Caenorhabditis elegans: one gene and its partners. The protein of the gene in region 2 interacts with the protein of the main gene of each other region in a pairwise test. Each region holds a gene or a part of one and is shown on either strand. Other genes may lie near its edges.

Region 1 (10,652 bases), on a different chromosome or scaffold from region 2:
GCAAGACGGGCATGGCAGGCGTTCTTGCGCCCTAAAGTAAAATAATCGGGGTACTAAAACTCCTATTACCTGAAATACGGTATGTTAGTAATCTAAAGTAGTTTTATAAAAAATCCCATGTTCATTAAAAAAATCCCAATGTGTAATTTCAGTGCCTACGATTTCATGGATTCAATCTGCCAGTACATAACCAACTGCTTCGAGCCGCTAGGAATGGAAGATTTTGCAAAATTGGGAATCAACGTCAGTGATGACTAAATGATAACTTTTTTCACTCACCCTACTAGATACTGATTTAGTCTTATTCCAAATCATCCAACGATATCAAACTTTTTCCTTTGAACTTTGCATACTATGTTATCACAAGTTCCAAGCAGTTTCAATACAAACATAGGATATGTTAACAACTTTTGATAAGAATCAAGTTACCAACTGTTCATTGTGAGCTTTGAGCTGTATAGAAGGACAATGTATCCCATACCTCAATCTTTAATAGTCATCAGTCACTGGTCCCGCACCAATTTTTTCGATTCGCATATGTCATATATTGCACCGTGGCCCTTTTTATTGTAACTTTTAATATATTTTCTTCCCAACTTGTGAATATGATTGATGAACCACCATTTTGAGTAATAAATGTATTTTTTGTGGACATCATGTTTAAATAAAGAAAACATAGGCAGTTTGTTAGGAGTTAAGTACACTTTCTGGTAAACTTAATGCCCCTTAAACTTAAATTACAGACAGAGAACTTATAATTTTCAATAGAGAAAAAAACAGACTTTCAGCGATCGGAACTCACACCAGCTACTCAACTACGCCTTTTTTGGTAAATCTTCTACAATAAGAGCCGAAGGTTCAAAAACGTAGTAAGCGTTTATTGAGTGAATAATACAGATATTACACAAAACTTATGACAACTTGCTTACAATTTGTGGAAAACAGTAAACTTCATCGGAGCAGACGCGCGAGACAACTTTTTGACAATGGTTTTTGTGATGTTGCTACCAGATAGCGCCGGTTCCGAATAGAAACGTTTATCTAAATTTTAATTAATTTGATCTTAAATTTAAGTTTACGAGCTTACCGTTGTTAAGAACTCCCAAAGCTTGATTCATCGCTTTCATTTGATGACTGAAGCCACAATCAAACGAGAAAGAGCTCATCTTTTTTGTAGAAGAATTAAGTGGCGGAAAATGATCAATTGGCACTTGGAAAATCATTTTTCTTGAAAATGTTGAAGAATAAAAGAATATAAAATTCTGCAGATTAATATTCTTCTATTCTTAGCCCATCTTTAATACTGGAATTTGGAACGAGTTTTGAAAAAATTTGACGGAACAGTGATGTAACTTGCCATAAGGACATAAGAAACGTCGTTAAACCATTCAAATAAATTGGATACGGTAATGGTCAATGCGAATCTGGGCGATTTTTGGAAACTCGATCAAAGATGATGAATTCAGGTTTTTGGGGCGTATAACATCAGCGTCAATTTCAGCAAAAATAAAATTATAAGGATTTGCGAAAATCATGAGTTTTGAATTTCAGATCATGTATAATGTCTGAGTAAAAACTTTTCACTTTGGCAGGAATGTTTCCAGGCAGCATAGTAATCAAGTTTACCATGCCACTCCTAAAACTCAAGCATATGCCGAATGTGAGCGGCCATTTCTTAACTCTGTTTATGTCGGCTGCATATGTGTTACTGAAGTATGTTATGGTTATGTATTCGAAGGCCGAACAAGGAGAGAAGACGAGTAGTTTATTACATTACTAAATTAAGGAATGATTAAGTTAGTTCATAGAGTTCACGTTGCACGATCTTCTTAGCCACGTCGTGGGTCAATACACGTTGATACCCAACAGTTATGACGTCATCAAAAAGGTCTCTGCGAGCACTTCACTTGGCAACTCATCAATCCTACATTACTTCAGTCAACTTATTGGCAAATTAATCAAAATCAAAAAAGGACGTGAGAATGAAAAGAAGATCTCCGAGAATCGCGGGAATTTAGACACAGACTTCTCAACTGATTTTGCATGGTTAAGAACGTGCTGACGTTACTTTTTCTGTGAAAAAAATTAGCGCATTGTTTGTAGATCAAACCGTAATGGGACAGTCTGACACCAAGTGCCCCACCTTGATCTCCCGAACTATAGCCGGCCCAATTGGCCATTTCATTTATTTGTTTAAATCATAATTTTCACGTTTCTTCCTCTTTCCGGTGTAACTCTTATCTTGACAAATAAGCATTAATATTATTTATCAAAAACACAAAACTAATACAAATTTCTTCCGTTTCTTCCTTAGTCATCAAGCTATTTTCTAACCCCCACGCCATGTCATTATGGAAAATGTCAATTTCCATAAGAATTTGAGCAGTTTTATGATTCACCTATTTTGTACGTTACAAGGCACATTCCAAATGAGCTAGCCTGCGTGATAAGTGATAAGGAGGCGGTTGATAACGCCCCGTTTTACCATTTTAAGTGTTTCAGACCGTTAATGTCGCTATACAACTATTATTTATTTAGATAATAGTGATTGGAACGGCTCAGTTTTTCTCATTTTTTAGTTTCAGTGTTTTATATTCAAATTAAAAATATTCAAGTTTTGTTTTTTTTTATTCAAAACTAATTTCTAGAATAAAAACGCCATGACTGACCCTCTCAACCCAACGCGTCTGCAAAATCATCCCGCTCTTGCAAGAATTATTGAAAGCGGGCGGACAAATTTGCCAACCGGAATAACTACCAGTGGAGCACTTTCTGCATATGCTCAAAATGCGGCTGCTATCATCAGAGACAATCGTGAAAGGGAGAAGGTTGAAATTGCAGATTTGAATAACCGATTGGCACGATATGTAGAGAAGGTTAGTTGAATTTTACTAGATTTTGAAACTGTGTAAGTGATAGGTTTATAATCATTGTTGTCCAAATAATTTTGGTATGGAGTGCGCCAAGTTTTTTAAATTTATTTTTATAATTAAATAAATTAATCCGGAAAACCTGAATAAAGTATCAAGTGCACACTGAGCCTTTACCAAAATATTAAATATTGTATAATATTCTGTTTGAACAAAACTATTTTTCAGGTGCGCTTCCTTGAAGCACAAAATCGAGTTCTTGAAAACGACATTGGTGTTTTCCGTAATGCAGCACACACACATTCGGAACGAATTGCTGTCTATTTTGAATCCGAAAAAGCCGTAAGTAATCATTTTTCTATTAAGCTTTAACTTTAAATTGCAGTCGCTTTTCACTTTGGTCCGTGAAAACAAAGCTAAGATCTCGACGGCTGAGCAAAATATCAGAAAACTGGAGCCAGATGTGATTTCTGCAAAGAAAAAGTTAGTTTTTTGTAAATTTACTATACAACTAGTTGTACATATAATTTCAGTTTGGAAAGCTCTTTCCAGCTGAGAGTTCAAACAAGAGAAGACAAAAGAAGTCAAATGAAAATTTTGTCAAACCTGGAGGCAGAGGTTAGTAGACACAATTTGTGTAAAATTAATACAAAAAATTATTTTTTTGACCTAGCAATAGTTCTGGTGCAACAGTAAAATTTCCATTTTTCAAATTGTTTTTTTGAGTTCTCCGATTTCTCAAATCCAACAATTTACAGAATTCTTACATCAAACGTCTCACAACTGACTGTGAAGAAGAAAAAAGCCGTGTCCACTCTGAAATTTCGCGTCTCCGAAGTGATATCAAACGAGTGCATGCACTGCGAGACAAAGAACGCAGCAAGCACTCAAGTTCGTCTCAAGAGTTATTGAAGCGTCTTAACGGGTGCATTTCACAACACGACATTGCCATTCGAGAGGAAATTAGCAAGGCTAGACGTGACACAACAAACAAGAACAGGGACTATTTCCACAATGAGCTGCACGCGGCGATGAAAGAGATTCGAGACCGATTCGAGAAGGATTCACGTGCCGCCAGAAAGACATGGGAGGATTGGTATCACAAAAAGATCACGGAAATCAAGAAGGGATCCGAAAGCTATAGCTCAATACAAAACCAGGCAAGAGAAGAGATTCTTCGAATTAGGTCGATTGTCAACGAGTTCCGAGGAAAGCTTTCAGATTCTGAAACTATCGTGAGTTTGGGAGTTTGGGATCATTTGTTGAAACGTTATTGAATTCAGAATCAACAACTTATCAAACGAATCGACGACTTGCACTTCCAAGACAAGGAAAATCTAAGATTGTTCGAAATTGCACTCAATGAAAAAGAAAATCTAGTAATTAAAATGAGAGAGGAATGCACAAAACTTTCAGTGGAACTTGACAAATTAGTAGAGAACCAGATCGTATGTTCAAAATTTAAAGTTTTAAATTCACAAATTTGTAAATTCCTTAATAATTTCCAGAACTTGCGAAACGAAATCAACCATTACCGCAAACTAATGGAAAACGCTGAGCACCTCCGTACCACAGTTCAAACCCACGTGACCTATAATGCTCCACCGCCACCCTTGCCACAGTCAGGCCCTAGAACAACTTCCTACCACGCCTATGGTTCGGCATACAACGATTCCTTATTGTAACAACTTCGATTGTCATGTTTTTGTTAATTTTGAGTATTGTAATTTCACAATTTCAAACCACCCATGTTCAAATGTACGGCTTGAACTTGCAAAAGTTTGAAGAATTTATTTTTCTCAATTTTCATGTTATTTATATGTTTTATGAATTAACGAATAAAATGTTTTATTTTACTTTCTATGTAACCATTAATCGGATGAAGGTGGGGTGTTCAGTTTACCAATGTAGATCAAAAATAATTCAAAAAAATTTTTTTTGGTACTCTTTCCCTTTTTGTTTCTGAAACCTGATTATGAAGAAGATGTAGGCTTGATGATGGTTGAAAAAAGTGACGTCACTGGGGCAGGGTTTTCTACACTTTTTTCGAAACGCAAAAGCCTTTTTAGTTGTTCTTTATATAGCAGCTCTGGTGTTTTTTTTTTCTAGCAGGCGTATGTGATTTGAAGTTCCTCTTTGATCACTTTGAAATGTAATAATGTACTGATAAACTGTACACGTGAGGTCTTATGTATTTTGTTTGTTTGGCCACACTATACTAGGCAACAAAATTCCAGTTTCCGCTTTTTCTGACTATAAATCATTGGTTGGCAACTCAATATGCATTTTCTGCATTTCTGAAATTATTATAAATGCAATTTCTCAAAAAAAAAAACGGTTTTTTTATATTTTTAAATTTTGAAGTTTTGAACAGTATGAATTCTGAATTTAGTAGCAAATGCATTTTAAACTGTTCAAATTATTAGATATCACTTCCTGTTCTAGTTTTTTTTCAAAGTCTCATTTAGCCTACACTGTTGCGTCGTTATTGTTTTGTTCGTCATCTCCACTCAATGATTTTCTCCCCAAACTTCTGCGTCTCTCAAAACATGTTTTCGCGTACACAGTTGAAAATTTGAACTATTATTTTCAATTTTCAGATTGATCATGGCAAAACCGAAAGCACCAACCGAGGTATGTTAGGGTTTGTTTCAATTGCAATTTGAAAGATTTTTAGGGAACTCCTTTGTGCAACGTGGAGCATATCGAGTTTGAGTCAAGAGCAAATGATATAAAAGCAGGGCTCATTGATACTTTTCTGAATCTACAGAGAATCGATACCAATCTGTACATGTAAGTGTTGGAAAAATGATGTATTTTCAAATTTTGCTCAACAACATTTTGATTGGTGCTCGGAGACAGCTCAAACATTTTTCGGAACAGTCACTACAAAAATATCCTTAAAAGTGTAAAAAGTGTTCAGGCATGTGCATTATTAATAAAGTCTTTGACTCTGCTTATAATATATTTTTGAATGATGTGACATCACACGTCGCACAATTCCTGACTCGATCATCACAAAACATGAGAACATTAGATTTTCTTGCAGCGCTCGCCACTTGTTGAAGGGTCGTCATTCCTACAATGCCGTTTATGGCGGTCAGGTAAGAAAACTCAAATTTTCAATATAAACTTCCAAATCCTATATATCAGTTCCCACCGATCATCCTCAAATATTTAGGTTGTTGGTCAATCGTTGGCGGCAGCAGCTGCCACCGTGGAAGATTGTTTCATACCTCACTCATTACATAGCTATTTCATCAAGACGGGTCAGTTGATAACAGAAGACGGCAACTGTTGTGTTGTGTGTTTCAGGGAGTGTGGACAAACCGATTCTTTACATGATCGACCGCATTCGAGACGGAAGAAGTTTTTGTACGCGAGTGGTGAAGGCTGTGCAGGATGGAGAGGCAATTTTTTCTTGCCAAATTAGTTTCCATCATGTATGCTGGGGAAATGGAACAGAGAATAAAAAAAGAGATACTTTTCAGAAAGAACCCGATGCAATTAAACATAGCTCCAAAATGCCGGAAGTAACACCTCCAGAACAATTGCTTGTAGGTTGCTTCAAAACAATCAAGTTTTTCCATGCAGGCACCAAAACGCCTGCCACGCGCTTTCTGTATAGTGCCGCGACGGAAGAACCACCTTTGGCACTATTTGGTGCAAACATGAAGCCTTTGATTGTTCGCCATGGCGTAAAAATAAGGCGAGAGGCCGGCGTGAGGCGGGCAGGTTAGAGGCAGGCGTCACGTCCTGAAAACAGGCCCACCTCCCATGGAAGCTTGAAATATAACTAAAAAATATAATAACATTACACTGCAATTCTAGGTTTACTTTCCATTATTATATATTTTCCAGCCAGCTCGAGAAGCAGCGCTGGAAGTGCTCCGCACGAAAGAAGTCGATGAAGTCACCGCTGGTGTCATCCAACATTTTTTGAAAGAAATTCCAGATGCTTTTGAGCGAGTTTTTGATGTTCGCCCGGTCAACCCAGCCAAGTACTTGCTTAAAGAAGATACTGAGCCAATGTCGATGATTTGGATTCGAGCAAGAGAGAATTTGGGTTAGAAGTTCAAAATAATTCGTTTTCAATACTATGATTCAGGAGATGATCACCGTCTCCATCAGTGCGTCGCTGCTTACCTCACCGACTTGAGCATGCTCACCACGGCAGTACGACCTCATATCAGAAACGGATTCATCCCTTCAATGTCTTTTTCCCTGGATCATTGTATTTGGATGCATGAAAATGAGTTTCGAATCGATGATTGGATGCTGTATGAGACAATTAGCTCAAAAGCTGGTATAAAATTCTGTAAAATATTTTTTAAGAAATGGCGTTAAATTCTAGGTGGAAGTCGTGCATTTATTGAAGGCCGTTTATGGTCTCGTGATGGTCGACTTATCATTTCGACTGCTCAAGAAGCACTTGTCAGAGCTCCAAAAGTTTGACAATATTTGAATATTTTGTTTGGTTGTGTATATATATTCAATTTTGATAACTATAAAATGAATAAATGTTTAGAATTTTGAAAAGTAAGTACCAAGTTACTTAACAATAAATTAGTACCATCACCAGAAAGCCTGCATCTAAGATTCGAAGCTTTCAAGAAATCCGCGTTAGCGTAGTAAAACAATTTAGGAAAAAAAATACTAGCAGAAAACTGTTTCCCTAGTTTGAGAAGTTTCAGGACTGTGGTCTCGTTATGGTCTATTTATTGTCATTAAAAAATAAACATTTGTCATATAATTGAGCTCTATGAGCTCCCCATTTTGTTTTTTTAAATAAAGCCCGATCAATAATAAATGTACCAGAGATGTATTTGATACTCGCAGAGACATGTCCGATCGGTTGATAAATCGTTCTCCCTAAATTCCCCCACATCTCTGTTCCCCTCATGTTTTTTTGCATTCTTTACTGCACTTTTTGACATCCCTCACCCATCCCAGCTCCCCAAATTTTCATTCCTGTCTTTTCGACATGAACATCGTTACTTTCCTACTTTTCGGAATATTTCCACTTTCAGCTGCAATTTCTCCAATTAACCTGGAGAATTGTAATCCGGGAAGTTATTTTGTGGAAAACTATATCAAGTACCAATGCTATCAAAGTGGAAGTGTAAAGGGTTACAATATTGCTGGTGGGTTTTGAATTAGAAAATTAAAAAGAAAAAAAAATAAATTTTTAGGATGCCAACCATCGAATGATCTCACCGGTGTCACTTTGCAACAGTGGGAGACCCACAACGAAAAATGGTTCAAGTATCACTGTGTAATTGATGGAACTAATGCTCAGTACTCTGTGAAGAGTAAGTCAGGAGATTTTTGTTTGTTAGTCATGTACCCCTGTTTAAAATTTTGGCTAACTGGTAATCTAATACACAAAACGCAGTTACATAACTTTGCAGCCTGCCTCGACCCCGTAGGAGAAGTTCTACCAGTCGGAAAAACCCGCTCGTTCCCAGATGGAGAAACATTTACATGCTTCATAGAACGCAACAAGGTCAAGCTGAATCACCAAACAAGTGAGCAATACATGATTTATCATGCGATTGTGCCAGCTAACTATGTCATCGTTCGACCAAATGGTGATGTTGAAATCTAATGCATCCATCTGTTGTAATTTTTCAATTATTCCCATTGTATGATCCCTAATAATCTTTTTTATCACTACATATATGGCAAACTTTTGTAATTGTTTAATTTTTAACAATGAAGATGAATTATCAGATTTGTAAAATTGTTCTCAACATTTCAGCTGCTGGATGTCAAGTCGGCGATCAAGTTTATGGAGATAGAGCTACATGGATTGATAGACGAGAAGATGTTATCATTGTGAGTGAATGTCAAAAATCTATTTAGTTGTATTTCTTCTAACAGTTTCAAATTATGTTTTTTAGCGCATATGTTGATTCAATGTTTTGATATGCGTAAGTGAATACTAAGGATAGGTAAAGATGTAAACAACCGGTACAAAATATTTGGTAGTAACACTTTGGGGTAGATTCAAAGACAATTGGCGTGTAAGCTATTAACTTTGATCAACTGGATTTTGGATCAAACGTGATTCAAGTTCTTCATAATTTTTTTTGCAAATTTGATCCAGTTTCCAAATTCCATTTAACTCAGATTGGCTCAGAGAACAAAGTTGTTGGAAAGGGATCTACCATGCAATGCAAAAAATCGGAAAATGGCTCATTTGTTGTAGAAGTTGCAGGTTGCACTTAAAAAGATACGTATTAACCAACTTTACAACTTTAATTCCAGCCTGCTTAACTGCAGAGAACACATACATTCGACCAGAAGATTTCGGAACTGTAGACGATGCAGTTGTCAAATGTGCAATGGTTGAGGGGAAGTGTGTGCTGAGAAAAGCTGAAGTCACTGGTAAATCGTAAATGAAAATTTACAACTTTTGTTACGGTTTTTCTATTAGAACTCGGATGCAGACACAATGGAAAAGTATACAGGCACAATGAGGAATGGAACTCGGAAGATGGTGCCACGGTTTATGCATGCCAATTCGGGAAAGTGGAGAAAGAAGGATGCCTTGTTGGAAATTACCTTATTCCATTGTATGCAATTCGCTACGTTGATGGAAACGCTTTTTATTGTTTTCAAGGAACACAAGTTCGATCATTCGGAGATTTGAGTGAGTTTGCATAACATATTTAGTAGGGTATTCGGGTTATCGCACAAGAAAAAAACATAAATTATGTTGTAAGGTGACATATTAATGTGCATAGTCATAAGGAAATTAATAAAAAAAATACCAATGAGCTACCGACCGTTTTGTGGCTAGGCATAGAGGCTAAAATGCTACACACAAGAACTCACCCTACACTGCACAAGCGGGGTAGACATATCACATAGAACAGACTATATACAGGTTGGAACTCGATAATGATTTTATGTCGGTAATCACTTTAAAACGTGGTTATTTTCTGTATTTTTATTTCAATACAAATACATTTCGCTTTATACGACGTTGGTTTTATGAATCTAACTATATTGAAAAATAGGAAATTTCATTAAAAGAATCTACCGAGTTATTGAAAATGATTGGTAATAATTATAAAACCAAAATCTTTAACTTTGAGAGGGCTGCACAACAACATCCGGCGATATCATCCAATTTGAAAATCGTGCTAGAAACGGAGACCGCCTGGAATCCTGTGGGTTTAGCATTAATCGAGATGGAACTGTCGAGTTTAAGTGGACACAAGTCGGGTGTATTTATTCAAAGGAAATGATAACGGTAAATGCAATTCAACAATTTGGAGACCAATACGTGCATTGTGCTTTGAATGGAACTGCTGGGTATATCGTAAAAATGATGACAAGAGAAGAAGTGGAGAAGTGGTTGACAGCGACTAAACAGCAGTGGAGCAATATTGTTTCAGGTATTTTATGAGATGAAATTGTTATTTTAGAGCCAGAAAAAAGTTTAGAATTTATAATTGATTGGTGTCCGAATTTTGGAAGTTTTCACTGTAGATCCAAAATAAATTTTTTTGGAAAAAAGTGACATAGCTTACCTGATTCTAATGAGTTTTTTCAGTGGGATTATTTTTGGTCTAACATGTACTACTCTTAATCTCGGACATCGATAGTGTTTTTTGGTAGAGCAGTGTAAGTGTCCCTTGTAAAGTTTTTGAAAAAAAAAACATTATTCATTCATGCGCACAAAAATGATTATCAAAAAAACTTCCACCGGCAAATATTCAGGGAAAGATGGAAAGGGAAATTCTGTAAAACGAGAAGTTCCAACAACACCTC
Region 2 (11,208 bases):
TTGAAAGCTTTTTTTGGAACATGAGTATATTTTGATTTTTGAAGAAGAAAAATGCAGTTGAATTTCAGGCCCAAAAATAATGTTTTGAATATTTATAAAAAACTTTTTGATTTGCATTCGAATATTAAACTCGTGAATACCCGAAAATTGTTTTCCATTTATTTCTAATCAAAGTAACATTGAAACTTGGTTAAATTTAACTTTAAGTCATAGGAATCTAAATTTTAGAAAAAACGTAAGAGTGTTTGAAAATTAGATTCAAAGTAAGATTTAAATTCATTTCAAAAACACGAAAATTCGAAGAAATAAATCAAATTACCTTGTATGAAGTGAGAGTGTGACCTCTCAAAAAGCAACATAGTATTAAACCAGAAAGTATTGGGAAAGTGCGAATAAAAAAAGGCAGCCGACAGTCTAATACCGTTCTTCTCGCGCAACTCTCTAATCTGCCGAGCAGAGATGAGCCGGGAGAGAGGTGTTTTATGAGGGGTTGGCTGGGAGGCGTCTGTGCACCGGACCTTTTAGGTGGCCAGAATGTTTACAATCAAGAGAAAAAAGGGGGAAGGGCCGACCTCCTTGAACGATTTACCGCCAATTTTCCTTGGTCTCTATCGTATCTCAATATCTAGCAGGCAATCTCTTTGAGCATCTGATTGAAAGAAGACAGCGGCGGCCAATTTTATGGTTATGTTGTGTTCGATCTAGCTATCGAGTACTACTATTGCTACTACTTGATCTAACTTTAACAGCCAATACTCTGTTTTTATAGCTTTCGAATTGCACGAGTAGGATGGCGGGGCGACCGAGTTCTTGGTTTTTAGAACGGGACGAGAGAATTTGGAACACATGGAACTGCTTATTGTAAATCTGATAGATTTATTGAATTGGAATAGGGATCACGTGTTACTTCAGAGAAAAAACTTATGGAGTAAAGCAAAAACAAGTCATCAGGTCGAATCTCATGTCACAGATTTGTATTTTCAAATAATGTCGATGCTTGATGCGTTTTATAGAAAGTACATAGCAAATAGATATGTACATACAGTGGTTGCCAAAAGTATATGCGTTTTTGGTTTTTTGCAAATTCTTCATAATTTTCAAATGAGTATAACTCACAAACTAAGCACTTTGGAGAGAAAAGTTTAACTGATAAACTGTTGTTTAGAATCTTGTCTTCATGTTAACACATAAACAAACATTTCAAAAAATTCAGGTCAAGAGATACAGCGGGCGATACCTCGCGAGTCCATTTTTGGCTTTTTCTCTTGAAACGCCTGTAGCTCGAGAATGAGAAGTTTTAGTAATAAAAATCTTTTAAAAAAAAATAAATAAAATATAATATAAAATAGATTATATATATATATAATCTGCAAATATTTTTCTATCACATGCAGTTAGTTGTTTTTCAATCAAACAATCTGTAGAATAGAACTGTAAGTATAAACACGCGGAGTACCAGCACTCGTCGGGAACAATTTGTAAAAATGGTGGTTAAATTTTTCTAATACTTGCTTTTTAGTTGAAATGTAAATAAAATTCAACTATACAATTAGTTAGTCAAAATATATAAACAGAAATATATTTTTGAAAAACATGTCCTGGTTTTTAAACAGTTGGTCAAATCGGTGCTTTGAGAAGCGCGTGTTTAAACTTACAGCTCTATTCTGCCGGTTGTTCGATTAAAAAACGACTATATGCATGTGATAGAGAAATATTTGCATATTATTTTATTACTAAAACTTTTCTCATGAAAACTTCTCATTCTCGAGCTACAGGCGTTTCAAGAGAAATAGCCAAAAATGGACTCGCGAGGTGTCTCCCGCTGTATCTCTTGACCTGAATTTTTTGAAATGTTGGATCATGTGTTAACATGAAGACAAGATTCTAAGCAACAGTTTATCAGTTAAACTTTTCTCTCCAAAGTGCTTAGTTTGTGAGTTATACTCATTTGAAAATTATGAAGAATTAGCAAAAAACCAAAAACGCATATACTTTTGGCAACCACTGTACATATATTGATTGAGTTGTGGATATTTCAGTTAGTATATATTGTATTTCCTATAATAGTCTTGCATATCATCAATGTTGGCAGCTTATACTATCTTTGGATTTATCAAAAGTTTGTTAACTGACAAAATATGTTGAAAAAATTTTATGCTCGTAGTTTTTTCTAGCTTACATCATTACTACTATGGCTGAGTATTATGACCGACCGCAATTTAAAACAAAATGACTACAGGGTTTGTAAATAAAATGACTACAGGGTTTGTAAAAAAATGACTACAGGGTTTGTAAAAAAGCGTACCACCACTTAAATTATTCAAAAAACTGTCCAAATAACCTCAAAACCTTAATTAAAATGTTTCTTCTAAAGAAAAACGGAAACAATGTCGAATGAAATGAAAGAGGGTAACAAAAATATGTGACAACCGGGTGTCTTCTTGCTCCACGCCAAGAGCTTCTCACCGAGAAACAAGAAGAACTGAGAAATGAGAAATGATTGATCATGGTTTCCTCGTGTCACTTTTTTTTTATTTTTCAGTGGCCCTTGGTTAAACCTATGAGAAACTACTTACAAATCTAAAATACTTGATTAACCAGTAATTAAACAAATGCCAAAGAAACCGAACAATTAGCACCATGTCGGTGTAAATATTTAAGTTAGAAGGTAGGATTTTCGCACTTAATCAAAAACATGTGACCTTATTTTCAGAAATTCCAAAACAATCGAAAATATATCTGAAATAATGAATACATTAAATCGGTCTTCTGCTTGCTTGTGATATACTTTCAATTTTGGTTATTTCGTAAAAATACTTAAATTATCAAACATCTATTATCAGAAATGGGTTATATAGACATCAATATATATGAAAAATCTTAAACGCGGGGGTATAGTGCTTAAAAAATCGTTTAACAAAAACATTTTAATTAATTTTAATGTACAAGTGTTAAGAAAAATCCCAAATGTGAAACTGGCCGCGAAATTTTCAAAAATCTTGAAAAAAGAAAACTATATTCCTTGAAGTGGTGGCTTCCGTAAACTAACGATGATAATGATGGGAGAAGATATCGATGCGAACGAGCGTAAAAAAAATGCGGGCGGCTCGTAAATCAGATCTCAGTCGATTAATCTTCTTTACCCACATCCCGAAGATTTTTTCAAACTCACTTGTTGTGGAAGCTGGTGATGCTGTTCTTGAGGAATTCGGACCCAAGAATATCACAGTTTCAGCTGCACTTAGCTCTGATCCGGATTCTAATTCAAATCTTCGTTGTGTTCTAGGAGTGCCTCCCGGTGTGATTGTAGTTGTTCCACATGATGAAGAATTTGATTCCATTGTTCCAGTTGACATTGTCTGAAATTAGAATTTCAATTTTTTTAAATAAAAAAAAATATCTGAATGTTAAAAATGAAGAAAAAATGCGGAAGAAGTGCCGGTTGTTTTTTCTTTGTAAATATACAATATACAAGAATTCATACAAAGAGGATCAAATTTCGATTATGGTATTATGTTTGCGGCAGCGATATTAATATTTAGGTTATGCTAGAGGTGGACCGGATTTTACCGTAAAGTGAGACCGAGGAAAAAGGTCAAAGAATGATAAAAAGTAGCCTACAAAATCGTAGTTTTCTATTAAAAAAATATCTTTGCACAGTACTTCCCCAAATTCAACCAGATCAAATACTGAGCGCTAGGAATTTTTTGAGAGTGCCGTGAGAGAAAATAAAATGTAGGAATATTGTAAGAATATTTAACTAGTAGTAGGAATATTTTCTTCAAAATACGAAAGAATACAATGTTCCAAAAACTTGTATACTTTTGAAATTTGCAGTGAAATTTTCGGTAAGTTGGCAAACAGTTGTCAAATGTCAAGCTTTTGGATAAATTCTCAGAATTGTTGTATTTTTGAAATATTGCCATTCTTAAATTTAAAATAGTTTTCAAAAACCTTTATTATGCGAGCAGTAATAAATTATCTGAACTGATGTTTTCAAACTCACCCCTGATGACTTCCTTCCATGTCCAACCATACTCTTTGCTCGAGTCCTTGCGATTTTACAAGCCAAATGTGCAATGTTCTCGTTATCGTCACTCTTGGCACCAAATGAAAAAACGAACGTCGTGAATCTTGACGTACTCAATGCACATCGGATGAGTTGACACACTGACGAGTCCCTGTAAAAAAGGAAAAATTTCATTTTAACATCTTCTACTTTGACACATTCTAACACTTGTCAAACTTTCAATTCCCTAAGAACCACTGCTCTATTTCTGCAGAAGCGGCAGCAATTTGTTATTTATTCTCTCGGTACGAAGAATTCAAAAAGAAGGAAAAGGAGGATAGTCAAAAGAAAAATAAAATTCATTTCGTTCCCAAGGGAGCATGCCCAAGCAACTTTTGAAGGCGGTGACCGGAAACGCAAGATTCACCGACAAAAGCATATGGATTGATTAATTGGTCATTTCTTATGCAAAAAGTTGGACAAATTTTGAATATTTAAACTTTTCGAGTTGAAATATTACAACTACTTGCAATAAAACAATTGAGATGTTTTTTTTTTTCATTGTCCACCTTCCTGTTCTCATTACTCTTACAATCCCCCGATTTTTATATTCATCATTCCCCTTCCCCTGCTTTCTCTTTTTTTCATTGAAAATGTCATCACTTCACCGCCTCTTCCTGTCTCTACCAAAAACATCAGGAGGTACCATCTCTCAACAGTGAAATAAAAAAAGACACCAATTCATCTAATCCCTCGTGTGGCTCGTGGGCGGCTCTTCTCTTTGATGTGTCCTGAAGGATCCATGTTGGAAGAGCGCGGCGCCCCTCTCCTACACACCTCCTACTTCTTCCGCGCGCGCAAATAACGATCCATCGACAACTGGTTCAATAAAAAGTGGTAATAAATAAATGGGTGACTAGACAATCTTCTCTTAATCTTTCCGCCGGTAAATGAAGGTTGATTGAGATGAAGTAGAGGGCATAATGAACAAAATTGGGGGAGGACCGCAGAATATGTGTGAAACTCTGATGGATCTTCCTTATACTAGAAGCTAGTAAAAATTGACTACTTGAGTGCCTACAAGGCAGACGTGACGCCAAATTAGAACGCTCCATTTAAATATGGGGATGAAACAGTGACTGGTGATTAACTTCTAGGATTTTTAAATCAATTGTTTCTCACATTGCTCTAAACTTTTCTCGAAAAATTAAAATTCACCAAAACTGTGTTTTTTGGTAATAAATAATAAAAGTGAGTAGATTGTAACAAAATTCTCACGAGTCCTCCTACTTTAATTGAATATTCAGGGTTTTATGAACGCTGTATTTCCAGATTTCTCCAGGTACACTTTTGATTTGCAGACCAATTTTTTAAAAAAATATTTCTTCAAAATACTCACCTTGATGGAATATGTTTATTTCTTTGAACCATTGCCAAAAGAATACTCCCTAATGCTGGCATTGTCATTCCTCCATTTGTTGAATTTCTCTCACCAATTCCCATATCCAAGAAACAAAGTCGACGACGTCCTCCTTGCATTTTGTCACCCATTTTATACGAATACAAGCTTAGTGATATGAACACGTGGCTTGTTCGATGGGTATGCTCGTCTTCTGAAACTTGTGTATAAGACATTTAGATCATGTTTCAACTCACGAATCATTCGATGATCCACTGCAGTATTCAAATAAAATAATGCCTGATCAATGGTCTCGACACGAATTTCACTCTCATTATCGATAAATACTCCTGTTCGAGCATCATCCACTATTTTAACCACTCGGTGACGTGGATCTGGATTGAATGGACTTAACAAATCGACTATTGAAGATTCATTTTGTGACACCATAATTGCAGACATTCGAACTTGTATTCGTTCTTCCGAATCTCTGGAAATAGGAAATTTAATGGAAATATAGAACATTGAAACCTACTTGTTATCATCAAGGGCATTCATTAATTGAGTGATGGCCATTTGAACCAACCCGTTTCTTGAAACGCTGTTCCCGTAGAGACGTTCGTCTTTTCCTGAACATTTCTAGTATTCGATGAGTTTCAAAAACATTCTTAATGTAATCGTAAATAGTATCTCCATTAGAAATGGAGGAAAAATTGAAAATTGTATAAGTTCTTCAAATTTGAAAACGTTACTCTCCAAAATAATTACTCACCATTAGTTTTAGCTCCCATTGCTAAAACTGTTGCATCATTTCCAGCGAATACTGAATTTATTGTATCCGATAGAAATGCCGTATACATATCATCCTGTGTAGCATCTGTTCTAAAGATATGATCAAATGTCGTTTTCGAATAGTTCTTTCCTTCGATTTGCAAGTGTTGATCAGTGAGACTGCACCGACCATGTGCAACATCTTCACTGCTTATACTGGCACATAGTCGAAGCTGAAAAATGTGTTAATCTCAATCTGTGAATACTAGAAATGTTTGCCAAAAAATTAGCAAACAAATAATTCAACAAAAAGCTTACTTTCGGAATCGTTCGCAACGGCGAATGAAGAAGCAGCGAGGTCTTACTGCTGCATGCCTCCATTCATAAGGTCTGAAAATATTCATTCTAATCCGCAATTCGGGAAGGAACGGGCAACGGAAATCAAAGAAAAAACCAAAGAAAAAGCAAAAAGAATGTCGCGGGAAAAATTTGCGAGGGAGGAAAGGGTCAGTCCTGATAAAAGACGGACAAACCGTTATCATCAAAGTGTGTATGTGTGTGCCCATATAAGCGTGTCTGCATAAATAATCAAAAGAGGTAGATGAGTCTTTTCATGTTACCGACGAACACCTATTGAGTAAAATGAGGTGGAATGTGGGAAAACGGAAAGTGTTGCTGGCACGGAGCCAACTTTTTGAAAATTGTGAAACAGACCACAACTGATTACACAAAAAATTATGATAAAGCTCTATAAATCTTCTCTTTTCTGCTTAAACTGTAGTACAACGCTCCAAATAATTACTCAATAAGATGAGATATACAAGTGAAAGAAAAATTGAAAGAAGTAGTAAATTTACTCTTTCGCGAAGAATTTTCAGCTCGTTGAAATGTTACTTCGTATGTGCAATTGACATTCTTTAAAACCACCGGAAACCAAAAAAAACATAAAAATTCTACGAAACAGTCTGACAATAGAGTAAATGATATCATCAGTTTTCCACCAAAAAGTACCAAAAAGGGAACATTTGAAAAGAAGACCATTTCCCGCCAAAAAGTGAGTCAACACTGCATCGGAAAATGGAGAACTCTCTGACGCCCTGGCGATGGGGATGAACGATACGTACAAACCCATTCATTGTGGGAACTTTTTTTTTTGAATTAAAGCAAATGGGTAGAGTGAATATTATAAGGTCTTGCCTTTTGGATATTTAAATATAGTTTTGGTTTTATGTCCCTGGACGGGGTCAAGTTCCAAAAGTCATTAAAGTACCACGTGAACAAACCGCCTGGTATTTATAAAAGAATTATTGTCGATCTGTGAATTGCACATTTCCCAATTCAAAAGTCTAGACAGTTTAGGTAAACATTTTTGGTATCGAAAAACAGAAATGTATAACATGAAAAATTCTATCAAAAACTGTCAACTAAAAAAGACTAAAACTAATAATCATAATTTTTTTTTCAAAAATATCAGTAATTTTCTGAAAAGAAAGCAAATCGAAATTGAAAGTGAGAAGAAAGAATAGTGGTAATTTGACCTCCCCTAGGAATGAATTGAGTTGAGAAGAAAAGTAGTGAAAAGATTTTTGAGACGAGTGATGGGCGTGAAACAGGGGAAAGAATAGAAAAATAGTGCAACACATTTTTTTGAAACAAAATTTAATAAAAGAGTAAAACACAGAAACTACAGTTGGATGTATCAGGTGAGGAACGGGTATCATAGAAAAATAGTGATTACTGTAAGTATACTCCAGGAGATACTAATTTTTAGATTATTCATTGCGAAAATTGATATTTTCAAACAAATAAACAACTATGAAATTTTATCTATCATGTCAGGCAAAAAAACCGTTAAAACAAATGACCAGAAACTAGGAAAACAAGAGCTCTTATAGATGAAAAAATCATTTTGCATTATTTCTCGTGGTTCGGGAAACTAAACAGGTATACATTTTTTAAAAATTAAATCTAATGGAAACATAAGAAAATACAAAATTCAGTCATCTGGAGAATCCAAAGGAAGTGATCACATCTGTTGAGCACATTTCCTTCTTTTTTCAAACATCCGGTCACTGGTAGAATCTTTGAAACTTTTTGGAGTTTTAAGGTCAAAGTTTGAGATTATAACTTACAAGACTGTAGGTACAAGCCACATATCAAGAGTGACACAACAAAAACAACAACAACACTAAAAATAAGAAAACCGAAAAAAGTGGGCGGAGTCTCCGTTCATCTTTACGCAACACATGAAAGAAAAGAAAATAGAAAAGATGAGTAAAATGTATAGAAAGAGTTGGTTTCCTTTTCTTCTTTCTATCCACATCTTCTTTAGAAGGGTGGAGTCTTGAAGAAAGAGAGATAGACACATATGTCTTTTGGCCCAATTCCAATGGTCCCTTAATGCAATAGAGTGAGAAACGGGACGTGGGACGTGTCCACGGGACAACTGAGAGGACAACTATGGCGCAATCAGCTGCCCCGGGAAAGGAGGAATTGTACAAATGTTTGAGTAAAGAACGAGTGGACACAAAATGGGTGGGAGGAGGAAGAAGGAGGGCGAAGACTTGATTAGGGAAATGAGCAAAAAGGATTGGAAGGTCCAAATACTATAGTGCTTCCTAATTGTAAAGGGTAACTCTATGAGCAATTATGTTCCTCTAAAAATATAGGTTATAGAAATACAAAACACCTGCGGAAACAAAATTATAGATTCAGACAATTGTCGTATTGCTCTAAAACATTCAAAATGTACGGTCATAATGAGGCATCTAAAAAATTCATGAGGTTCAACAATTTTGAAGGAAAACTAAAACTTCTGTTCAATTACTACACTTCATTCAAATTTTGATAATTTTTTACTTTAGGTTTTTTTTCCAAAAATTTGAATTTAAAAAAAAAGATTCCATTATGAAAGTTGCCCTTTTAGAGCAATTTCGAAAGTTTTCGCAATACCAGTTTCAAAACGGTCTAAAACATCGCAGAGTGCTCTAATAATAGAGAGTGAACATCGAAGTAATATTTGAAAACATCTAATCTCTTGTTCGGACTTCCTCTTCGGTTTGAATGTAGTAATTTGACACTGAGCCATCTAATCCTGCATCCTCCCGTGGCCACCCTCCTCTCGTCGTCAAAAATCACTATATTTCATGACATATGTGCCAATTGACTGTCACGCAGTCTACGAGAAGAGTTCGAGAAATCGAGAGACATAGAAATTAAGAGGGCGCATTAATGTGCCAAGTAATTTCGAGATTCTGAGCAGCATAAGGATCCAGCAGTTAAGATTCTTATCAAATGATTCGATTGTAGTCAGAAAATTTTTATGGGTAGTAACAAATTAGATAACGAATTAGACAATTAGAGCTTGCAAATCTTGGATCTAAAAATGATGAATTTTATGTCAATTCAGAGAAGAAAAGGCGAATAGTCTATAATCAAACAGAAACAATAATGTTAGTTTTGGGTTTCAATGCATGATTGTGGCTAATAAGGAAAAGATGGAAACCACCATGATGATGATGATCCATGTGGTGGTTAATCACATTTCTCAATAGTGAACTCTAAATTTGGAACTCAAGAATTCAAAACGAACCAACGCAGTGAGGCAACAAAATTGAGTTATAGTGTGAGGAGCTCGTCCATTGGAATGATTCCCTTTTGGTAATATACTAAATTTGAAACTTTTCAGGGTTTATGCATTGCCGCTCTAGAAAAATATTTGCAATGCTTTCTAAAACTTTTGAGCAATAGAAAACTGAGTATTAATAAACAATTCAGAACTCAAAAATGTCAGGATATAAAGCCAATAGTAATTTGACGGATAACTTGCGAACAAAAACTTTGAAAAACTGGCCAGTTCTCTATTTTCCATTTTCCTGTTAATTAGTATTCGATACCTCAACCCGCTCATGGTGGTCACACAAAAAAGGGATGAGATTATGATCTTCAGGGACGCCAAGAAAACGAAAATTTGTGTGAAACCGAGAATGGCATCTGAAGAAAAGGTGAGAAAAAAACAGTTCATCACAAATCATCGTCAACGCGAAAAAGGTTTTGAACGGCGGGAAGATGAATAAATTGGAGAGCGGTATGACGAAAGAAGCCAGGAGGAAGTGCAAATACTAGTTGATGTACAGGTGAATAAATTTTGAAAAGAGAATGACAATGAGCTAACAGTAGTCAAATAGTGTGAAAACACGTGTACAAATGAATATTAATTAAATTTGAAATTATAAGGGTTATATTTTTTGGGGTGAGAAACTTGGTGAATTTATGTTCATAAGTATATAAAGTTGAGTACAAAAAATTTTAAATTGTCATTTTCTGTAAATTCTGAAGTGAGAACTTGCTAGGAATACAAAACCTTTTCACTAATTAAAAAGAACGCCTACAGATATCAAAATGAAATTAAACAGATGAAATAGAAAGTGAGAAGTCTCTTTTTTTCGGTTTTCCATTCATTTTGCCAGCCTCCCACCCATGCTTCTCCTCCCAGTCTTGATTTATATCTTATTGTAAAAAGAAGTCGAATCTCATCCCTCCTGAAAGAATGATTCCACAATTATCAAGAGCCAACACACGTGGTGTTATTTTATCAAAGATTGGGATTTACTGATTCCACTTGTCAATTGAAAATTCAAAGTTCAAAATAATAAAAATCAGAAAAAAAACAATAATTGGATGCTCCACCTTGTGGGTACTTGTGCGGGAACAGGTGTCGAGAGTGTTGCGAAGACTTTAGTTTTCTTGCAGAAAATGATGAGAGGAAATCGGAAAAGAAAGACTATGAGACAACAAGTGTACGAAATTTGCCAATGATTGATTGATGGTTCTAGGTGTGAAGTGAATTGAAAAAAGTTCCACGTTTTGTTTGTGAGGGTTAAGCTTAAAAATCAATTTGATATCAAATAAATCCTATTTAATTGACACCTGGCTGCAACTGATAACCTCCGTTTGATAAGAAGATTAGACAACAAAAACTAGATTATGTTAGGCAAGAGAAAACGGTTTTCATGGTAGAGTTTCCAAA
Region 3 (9,900 bases), on a different chromosome or scaffold from region 2:
GTCCGAAATCCAGCGAAGAGCCCAGTCAGCCTTCTTCTTGATGAACTCGAACTCATCAACGGCGTTGAAAAGAGTGTTTCGTTCCGTCTCATCACGAATATAAGTCTCAATCAGCTTCGAGTACATCTCTGAATGAATGTTCTCAATGGCAATCTGGAATCCGTAGAAAAACCGTGCTTCTGAGACTTGAACTTCGTTCGAGAATCGTTCGCACTGAAAATTTAATCGTTAATTTGAATCATTATTGAGATATCAAATAAAACATACCAAGTTCTCATTGACAATTCCGTCCGATGCGGCAAAGAAGGCAAGGATCCGAGAAATGAAGTATTGCTCGTCACCATTCATCTTCTCCCAATCGTTCATATCCTTTCCAAGATCGACTTCTTCGACTGTCCAGAATGATGCAACTGCCTTTTTGTAGAAGTTCCAGATGTCATGATGTTTCAGTGGGAAGATGACGAATCGATTATCCAAATCTTGAAGCATCGGCTCGTCGGCATCCAGCTCATTCACCTCCGACTCATTATTTGTTTCCTCAGCTGAAGCAGCCTTGGTCTGATCGACAATCTCCAATTTCTCCAGTTCTTTCTCCAACTTCAGCTTGTTCGATGAGTGTTTCGGCTGTAAATTCGAAGGCATACGTAATGAGTATACTGGAAAAGTCGTAGAATTGTGCACATTTTGTGCAAAAGCACCAGATTTCGCGCCTCTTCGCGGACTTTACACTAAATACTTACCACTGATGCTCCTGCGTTCTCCTTCTCGACATTCTGAATCTCGGTGAGGGTCATTTTAGTAGATATACGCGGATAGTGCTTGCGATCCTGAAAAGTTTAAAATAAAATGAAAATAGTGTGCAAATGAAGAAAACAATTGATAGAGAAGAGGAAACATTAAAAATGGCCAGCTGAACACTATTCAGGTCACACAAGTCACCACCTAGGACCGGCGACTGTGACAGACTGAGACAAGGAATGACCAGCACCAAAGGTTTTAACGAAGGCGGAGCTTTTGACGTCATGGTGAACTATGGGTGAAGGGCGGGAAATGCTGACGTCACAGACGGTCCTGTGTTCAGTTTTGCACGGAAAATCGTATGCCGGCAGGAGGTCAATTGTGACGTAGGCATGGTCAATGATGGGAGCAGATGATGCAAATAAATGGGTGAGAAATTAGAATAGGGCTCTTGCACTGAATTTTGAATGAATTCCTTATCAAAAATATATTGTTTTTGCGAGGCTTACTGATAAAAAAGTGACCAATGGAGTGACCGAACGATTTTTTTTTGTTGGAAAAACATTCAATTTATATATTGAAAAAGAATCTATAAATGTGTTGAAAAGCCGGAAAGCAGCTATTCAATTTCAAAAACCTAAAGTTATTTAATTAAAAATGGTGATTGAAAAGATTTAACAAGAAAAAGACAAATGAGTGCACTTCCAGTGCACACAAGACGAAGCGAATGAGAAATGAAATGAGTGAATGAACGAAATCAGCGGGCGCAATAGAGGTTTCGCGCCAATTGTTCGAATTCAAATTTTGGCGCGCGTTTTGAAAGAAATGACGGAGACACAGAGAAAATTTACAGGTCTGATGAATATTGTCCGACTGATAAAGATTTAGTGTCTGGCGGAAAAACGGTAAAGAATATAACCTCCTAACTATAGTTTCGCAACAAAATATTTTGTATTTTCTCGAAAAACTTATTTTTGACGGGAACGAAGCCTATTGAAATACTGGAAAACTATCTTTAGGTTTTGGGCCATAAATTTGGATGAATATCGTGATGAGACCAACCAATTATGGCGGAAATTCAAATTCTACAATATTTTGGTGGTTGCCTAGTAGCTTTAGATCCACGTTTTATTGAAAAATGTACGGAGAGTTTCCATTGGAAACCAGCAAACCAGACAAAAAAGCTTCTCCATTTTTACTTTACATCAAATTATGGCGTCAGATCGTCGATTTTCTGTAACTCTGTCCGAGGATGATCTACGTCCGCATTTAAGGAAGCCAAGTAGGTTTAGAGTCTGAGAAATATTGTCATAGGTGCCTGAAAATTCTCCCAGAACCACTCAAGCCACCTAAACCACAACAATCAAGTGAAATTGAAGAACTGATTAGAAGAAATGAGAAGCGGGAAGAGGCGAAGAAAGAGGTAAAACGTCGTATTGAAGAAGAGGAAAAAGCGAAGGAACAGAGGAAGAGAGATGAAGAAATTCGTAGAGAAACTCATGAATTGTTGGTTATTAGGGAATTGAGCAATAATCGGAATGATATAGAAATGCCTGTAATCTCTTCAATTAAGTGAAACAATAATATGACACAAATATTTTTAGAGCATTCCAAAGCTTGGCCGGCGTGTGAACAATTTTCAGTATTTTAAATGGGATTCTGATGAAGAAATTCCAATTATTCCAGAAGAAAGAAGACCCGCTTCGGTTAGCAGGTGAGAAATTGAATTGTTAAATAAAAGAAAAATCATGAAAATTTTGAAATTGACAATTTTGTGCATTCTACCGTCGCGGTGTATGCGTACTTGACACTATATATGACGCGCAAGTTGCAAGTCAACGAAATTTCGATTTTTTTTAACGTCTCAAAATTTCAAAAAATTACAATTTTTCAACAATCTATTTCACCCTCAGATTGCCACCAGCGACAAGGGCATCCACTCTTTGTGAGCTATGCACATTGGCTTCACGATTGCTTGATAAATCCAGTGCTCCGACAAGAAGTGCAGCGTGTGCACACGTAGATGCTTTTGTGGGCACTTCATCGTCTTCTCATTATCACAATTTTTAATGTTTCAAGAAAATTGTTATTAAGCACCAGACGAACACAAAATAAAGAGATACATAGAGAAAATGAGGAGCAAAGAGAAAGGGGATTGAAACCCGTAAAAATACATTTTTGGTGAAGTTGATTGGGTGTGGAACGTGAGTACAAGTGAGATCGAGATTTCGAAACTTCGTGAAAAATCTAATATTACACGTGGAAAATTGAGAAGAAAGGGTGTGGCTCAGAGTATCAAGAGCTGTCGGATTCTGCATCACTCGAAGGAGCCAAACTGCTTTGCGAGGAACGCTCCTGATGAATTTGATCGCTGATCTGCTCTAAAGCTCGCATCGAATCACTGTAGCTGTCTTTTCGTTCTTGTACCTGGAAATTAAAAATTATTTTAATCTATATACAGTTTTATTCTTATTAGTTCTTACTTCATGCTCCAAAATTGACATTAACTCAAGTTGAGAATTCATTGTTCGCGTCAGAACTTCTTTTCGTTCGTAATAGGGCCGGGATTTTTTGATGGCAGATCTGAAATTCGGAAAATATATTGTCAGAAAATTGCCTGATGCCTGAAACTCACCCATTTTCCTCTAAACATTTCCTTAAAGCCATTTCCAACTGTAACAAATCCCTGACACGTGATGCATGACACTTTTCAGCTTTTAAACATTCTCCCTCAGCTTCTTTAACCAATTCCAACTGTTGCTCAATCACATCAACATATTGTTTCTCTGCATCCAATTCTTGATTGTTATTCAATGAATTATGCAGTATTTGCACTTGTTCTCTTGCCATTTCAACTGAAGTTTTTTGTCGTTCAAATTGAGCTGCCGCTTGTTGAACACATCTTCTGATTTCCGATTCGCGGCTTTTCAAATCGAAAAATTGACGGGATTTTGATATGTGTTTGGCCAACTTTTTAGGGATTCCAAGCATTTCTTTGTTGAACATTAGTTGGGTTTCACTGAAAATATATAAGATTATTTTAGCATCAAAACCAGATTTGGTACGATTTTTTGCGAATTAATTGGTTAAGAATGACTAGTGCAATAAAAGGTTTCCAGTTTTAGACGTGTAGCGATTAAGCAATTATTTTAAAATAAAAAATGAATTAAAACTCACCAAAACTGTTTCTTGACAGTTTCCAACTTCATCTCATAACTGTTGATGTCATCTGTTGCATTATTTAAATTTTCAAGTTGTTTGCGAATCGATATTAATTGATCGTCCCCTTCCGTCATTTTTAATGTTTTATTGATTCTGAAATCGAATTGTTCGAACGAAAATTACTAGAAATGAAGAGAATATGAGGAGAAAAGATGAGAAAATAAATTTTTTAAAATTAAATTTGCAAATTTTAACGTGAGGCAAAACTGTGCATTTTTACGTGATGGTGTTTGCAGATCGTAATTTGAAATTAATGGCGGGAGTTTTTCAGAAATTATCAATTCGACTTACAAAAATGGCTAAAATGAATGAAATTTGGACAATTTTCTCAATTTTAGTTGTTCAGGGTTAATAGCAAAAATCAGCTGCAAAAATGGCCCTCGACATGACATTTTTGTTGAAAACAAATGGGTGTGCGCCTTTAAAGAGTACTGTAATTTCAGTATTCATTGATTTTTCATAGTTTTTGGTTGAAAATAAATTTACTTATTAAATAATATTACTTTATTAATAATTAAGATAATAAAATTCAAAATTATTCGATTTAATAAATTGTGAGATCAACTATGAAAAATCAATTAAAATCTGATCAGAGAGCAACGAAAGCTTTAAATTACAGTATCCTTTAAAGGCGCACCCCCGTTTGTAAATCTCAGAAATTGCCTTTTCGCGGCCAGGTACCGTATTTTCAGGGCAAAAATCTCAAAATTTTGCGTCTGGGTAATATTCGAACCTCATAATTTTTTGAGAATTTCGAACTTGAAACCATTCTAGAACAAAGAAAACGAGGAAACGGAGAGTAGAACTATTTCAGATACGGTTTTCATCGGTTTTTTGGGTTTGAAGGCCGTGCAAACGACAAGCGGGGGTAGGAAAAGTGTGGGGGACGACGGAGAAGAGAGAAACAGAGACGGACGGTCGGGATGGACAGTGTGAATAGATTGTGGAGGGCAAATGGGCCAATTATACCGAAGGGGAAATATATTGAGGGGCACACAATTGTGGACTGTTATATGAGCAAAATTGGTGGAAGGTGGGGGAAGAGTTGAGTCGCCTCAGTCCTCAAGAAGTACTTTTTTGAAACATATTTTTTTAAAATTTTTTTGGGGCGATACCCCTCAACTGCAAAATTCCGATTAATTGCAACATTTCTATTTTTAAAATAAGAGAATGTCTATTGGGAAGTGGAGCAATCCACGACTGGATTATCGGCCACAGTCCCCGGCTAGGACGTGGCTTAAAATTACAGCCCAGAGGATCACCACCAGGCAGTGTACCTGAATCCCAGATCCGCAGTGCATAGCACTTGAAGAACCGATCGTCCTTTAATCCTTTAATCCTTTAATCTAAAAATAATTTTTCTTCAGTCTGACAAAAAACATTTTTAGAAAATTTTCAGGTTTTGTCAAATGATAAAACGATTTCGCTGATAGTTTTCAATTCATCTAATAATTGAATCGAAAATCGGAAAAACGCGCAAATTTCAAAGCAAAATGATGCTTCCGGGTCTCGACGCGAGTGAAACTTTTCAGCTACAGTACCCATGAGTACGGTAGATGATGATTTTCTTGAAATTTCGTTTTTTCCAAGCATATTTGACGGGATTTCGATAAAAAATATAATTTTTACATCAAGAATATCAAAAGAATTGAAAATTACAACAAAAAATAAAGGGTACGGTAGCGGAAAATTTTCATTCGTGACAGGAGCCAATGTGGCAATTTTACTTGACAAATAGCGAATAATAGCTTTTATGAGTGCTATCTGAAGAAGTCTAGGCGCGTGAGCTTTAATAGGATTTGCGGGAAAAACATCAGGGAGGTGTCGAAAAAACGGGGACAGTTTTTGTGGTCGTAGGGGTGTGTGGGGGACGACAGGTTGTGGATGACGTTGTCTTTTTCATCTTCTTCTTCTTCCGATGAAGAATAAGTGAGAAAATTAGAGAAATAGACAGATACTGATCTATTTTCTCTTTTCTATCTTTCTCTCTCTCTCTATCTCTTTTCCCTATGACCAGGAGAAATTGATGATTTCAAAGGAGAAGAAAGTACGAAGTTGTCAAATTTTTAGTGGGTGTCGTCGGACATGTGATCACACTTTTCATAAAAAATATTTCAGTTCCGTATAAACGAGAGAAGTCAAACAAACTCTGATAACAGGTTCCATGTGATTTTAGAAAATTGGGGTAGGATGAGTGGGGAGGTGATGGATGTGTTCTCGTCTTGGACTTTTCCAATCACATGTTCAATTACATATGTTCCAAATAATCTGAAAAACTTGATACTTTTGACTATTCGTCATAGGCTTAGGCTTAGGCGTAGGCCGAAGCTTAGGATTAGGCTTAGGCTTAATCTTAGATTATGCTTAGGCTAAGGCTTTGGCTTATGATTACGCGCAGGCTTGTTGGGCTTTGGCTTGAGCTTAGGCTCTGCTGCCTGTATCCTTTATCCTCCTCTCTCCGCCAGTACACAAGAAATTGTGGTAACTCAAGTTCCCGATTTGAGGTGCAATTTTTGATATTAAAAACGCTAAACTATTATGATTCAATTTTTCTAATAATTCTGTGATTCAACTAAAAAATTGCGCAACAATAAAATTCGTGTGATGTGTTTCGTCGTTGTTAACATATGTAAGTGGCAAAGGATAACGATAAAATGATAAATTGTGTCAGCGAAATAAAATCGAGTTTTTTTTCTGCAAGAAACCAAAGAACCTACGAGATAATCTTTAAAGTTATAAATAAAAGTATCATATACTGTTCAAACTTTAGAACTATTGAGATAGGAATTCATTATAGAGAGGTACGCAGGCCTAAAGGTAGGCGTGTAGGTGCCTACGTTCACAGCCTTGTTCTGTGGAAAAACCTAAAATAATTGGAAACTGATTAAAATAGTTTCGAGTGATCAATTGTGTGAAATGAACCTCGAATCTTCAAAGTAAAGAGTTTACTTTTCTCTATCTCTCTTTCAAAATCTTCATCAATTTGAAAAGCCAACAAAACAAACTAGTTGGAATGGCAGCACAAGGTATTTCGATCGAACCAATAGAAAAGCAAACCGAAACAAAAAAAAAACCACAAATTTTCTTTTTGAAGTCTCCTAATCCGTCAAAGGACAGGAGGCTGAGGGATAGGATTAGACAAGAGATTCGAGAGAAACAAAAAGTCTTGAGAAGGATACACAACAGGATTCGAGGAATTGTAAATGACAAAGTTTCGGAAGAAATGGGATTTTGTTTCGAGACACTTTGTTGGGTTCACAATCACACATTCATTGGAGGAGAAGTGGGGTTTGTTAAATACGAGAAAAGAAACGTGAAGACCGGAAAACAACAATGTTTCAATGTTCAAGTACTGTCATGTGATGGGGAAGCTTTTAAAAATGAATAATGATTCATATTTATATTTTTTGATGATGTTTTCTGTTTCATGAAAATATCGTTATTAGATCAATTTTGAACATTGTTTCATTCAAATGAAAATAGGAGGTTAGGTTACGATTTTCAAAGAATCAAAAATAATTCTAGTTTCTAAGAAGTTTAAAACAAGATTTGGAAAATTCTAATAAGTCAAGTTAAGTTAGGTATATTATGATATGAGTTCATAAAGTTTTTTTTAATTGCCGATTTTTGATACATGATTCTTTTTTTTTTCGCATATCTAGTACTTTTTTGCGACGTTTTTATACTTTCAATGGTCGCAATTGTTCTGAAAAATTTATTTGAAAAATTCCAGAAAATCTCAAAAAAAAAACTGGAACCAAATGAATATTTTTAAAAATTTAACCGATCTTTTATTGAATTTTATAGATTTTCGTACGATAAAAAGTTTAAATTTATATAACTTTAATTGAAATTAGTACCAAAAAAATTCCATAAATTATTTGACCAGACAGATTATTTGGAAAGTATGCTCTGTGTGTATTTCGTTCTGAAAAACTTTTACATGGCGGGACTCACCAAATATAAGGTGTGCTTGTTTAAGTTTGGAACTTCTTTTTCAAGACCAGCCAATAAATTTGAATTCAAAAAAAACTATTTCAAAAATTCAAAAAACCGAGTAAGGTAAGAACCCAAAAAAACTAGAAGATTAAAAATCTGAAACTACCAAAGTTAGACAAAGTGAGAAATTTTTAGTGTAACATCAACAATCGCATAGAAGATAAGAATCCGACGGAAAGAGATGAAGAGAAAAGAATGGTTTTCTCGAGACTATAAATTCAGAATTGTAGATCTTAAACAGAGATTATTTAAAGCTGAAAGTGAGAGAACTGACATGTTACGTCATTTGGTGAATTGAATGGAAATACGAAATAATGTATGCGGTTTTATATTAAAAAAATATTGGTCAGAAGTCATTGGAATTTGAAATGAAACGTTTTGAACAAGAATGGATTTGAAAAAAAAACAGAAACAAATTCAGGTGGGAGCCAATTTCCAACTGTCTTGTGATTCATGTGACAGTTTTTTTTAATCCAAATTCAAATGATTTTGAGAGGCTATGGTCTAGAACTTCGAGGGAAAATTATTTAAAACCGTTCATATGATGCAAAATGTTTTATTAAATTTTTTAACTTTACAGTCGAAAAATTTGAATTGATCACAATTCGTTCACACCTACCATTATTCCTGAAATCGACAAAAACATATTTTTCCTCGGAATTTTGAAGTTTGTATTAATTTTGCAGAAGGAAATTTAAAGCGGGGTGATAAAAAGTGTCTAAATTAAAATATTGCCAACTTTTTGTCGCAGCAGCTGAGAAATTTCTTTCCACTGAATCATTACTTTATTTTGCATAAAATTTCCAAGTTGAAAATGGTTCAAAAAATATATATTCAGGGCGCAGAGAAGGCAATGGGAAGGGCGGTTGAGAGACGACTCAGACACAATTCAAACTGATGGAATTTTTACCTAGAAGTCTATAGATGAGAATGCCCTTTTGTTATCTGCAAATTCCACGAAAATTTGGCATTTCTGAGGAAAATTATGAATGCTTGCTAACTAGGAAAATAACATTTTGGAACGAAAAACACATTTAACGAATATATTTTCTCAAAAAAGTAGTTTTACTGAGTTGATAGACCATGACGACTTGGATTTCAGATAACGTCTTAATCACAGGCAGCTTCTATTTTCAGTTAACGAATAGTGAAAGTGAGAGAATACCTCCACGACGTTTCCCATTCCTTGAGAATTTGGAAGACATCAAAATTGTGAATATTCTGAATAATATATCAGTCATCATCTTTCTTCTCATTCCTCTCATCTCTCTCTTCCACCAATTTTGCATACTCTAACTCAATTATGCGTTCGCTTCTCATCTAGAGAGCATCCCTCATTTCTTCTCCGTTTCTCTTTCAAATTAAAATTCATTTATTTTTATTTTCCTAAAACGATACTTGCTACAATTGTTTAAGTTTTAAACACACCGATTACTAAAAAAATCATTTTGATGTTTTTTTGTGAAAATAAAAAAAAAATTGTGAATGATTTTATCAAAATCAAGTTTGCAAAAATGTTTATATAGTTTCGTCATTTTTGCGCTTTCCGGGTTTATTAATTGAATTTGCTATATTTTTTGTTTTATGTTTATATTTTATATTTTTCATAATTTGAAAACCGTGTGTCAATAAATTTTCAGACATTTTTCCAAGGATATAGAACGTCTTCAGACTACAAATAAATAAAAATAGTTCCCCAACATTTCCAAAAACTTCTCACTTTCAGAATTTCTTCAAATCTTTCTAATTTAATAGCTAATATGATAGCTAACAATATTTTTTCAAAAAAAAAAAAACTATTCTTAACACATCAAGGGAGAGCAGGTGCAAGTAGGTTGTACTGGAGCTCCAGATTGTACAAAATTGTGAGAGCAAGTCCAATAAGGAAATAGTTATAGTTAATTTTTTGATTTTCTGTTTCAATTCTCCTGCAAAAATTAA

Evidence for each region.
Region 1: the proteins of vab-8 (region 2) and F25E2.3 interact in a two-hybrid assay, tested with the Caenorhabditis elegans proteins (one large-scale study listed by BioGRID).
Region 3: the proteins of vab-8 (region 2) and rei-1 interact in a two-hybrid assay, tested with the Caenorhabditis elegans proteins (one large-scale study listed by BioGRID).

Annotation. Positions count from the first base shown.
Region 1 is NC_003284.9:807,926-818,577, reverse strand, and holds F25E2.3 (Acyl-CoA thioesterase II), read left to right. Parts: upstream 1-5,460; 5' UTR 5,461-5,477; coding exon 5,478-5,504; intron 5,505-5,547; coding exon 5,548-5,663; intron 5,664-5,919; coding exon 5,920-5,974; intron 5,975-6,051; coding exon 6,052-6,139; intron 6,140-6,185; coding exon 6,186-6,313; intron 6,314-6,361; coding exon 6,362-6,427; intron 6,428-6,731; coding exon 6,732-6,936; intron 6,937-6,978; coding exon 6,979-7,176; intron 7,177-7,224; coding exon 7,225-7,325; 3' UTR 7,326-7,405; downstream 7,406-10,652. Other genes in the region: Smad protein daf-3, read left to right, coding at 153-258; Intermediate filament protein ifd-2, read left to right, coding at 2,661-2,876, 3,099-3,212, 3,256-3,353, 3,404-3,488, 3,629-4,105, 4,154-4,318, 4,379-4,555; F25E2.2 (Abnormal cell migration protein 18-like fibronectin type I domain-containing protein), read left to right, coding at 7,855-8,014, 8,063-8,182, 8,282-8,398, 8,632-8,708, 9,003-9,090, 9,141-9,260, 9,310-9,525, 9,974-10,276 and 1 more.
Region 2 is NC_003283.11:12,208,688-12,219,895, reverse strand, and holds the start of vab-8 (Kinesin-like protein vab-8), read right to left. Parts: upstream 6,570-11,208; 5' UTR 6,561-6,569; coding exon 6,498-6,560; intron 6,413-6,497; coding exon 6,181-6,412; intron 6,038-6,180; coding exon 5,944-6,037; intron 5,899-5,943; coding exon 5,666-5,898; intron 5,623-5,665; coding exon 5,409-5,622; intron 5,093-5,408; exon of another isoform or gene 4,980-5,092; intron 4,919-4,979; exon of another isoform or gene 4,775-4,918; intron 4,182-4,774; coding exon 4,007-4,181; intron 3,360-4,006; coding exon 3,173-3,359; intron 1-3,172.
Region 3 is NC_003281.10:4,094,095-4,103,994, forward strand, and holds rei-1 (Guanine nucleotide exchange factor rei-1), read right to left. Parts: upstream 4,097-9,900; 5' UTR 4,035-4,096; coding exon 3,916-4,034; intron 3,758-3,915; coding exon 3,374-3,757; intron 3,322-3,373; coding exon 3,222-3,321; intron 3,166-3,221; coding exon 3,034-3,165; 3' UTR 2,809-3,033; downstream 1-2,808. Other genes in the region: rnr-2 (Ribonucleoside-diphosphate reductase small chain), read right to left, coding at 1-213, 268-624, 741-794; C03C10.7 (uncharacterized protein), read left to right, coding at 1,951-2,020, 2,073-2,293, 2,343-2,452, 2,652-2,808. UniProt on the Caenorhabditis elegans protein: Guanine nucleotide exchange factor for Rab GTPase Rab-11.1. Spatially and temporally regulates the distribution of Rab-11.1 to target membranes during embryogenesis. Plays a role in cytokinesis, probably by targeting rab-11.1 to the cleavage furrows.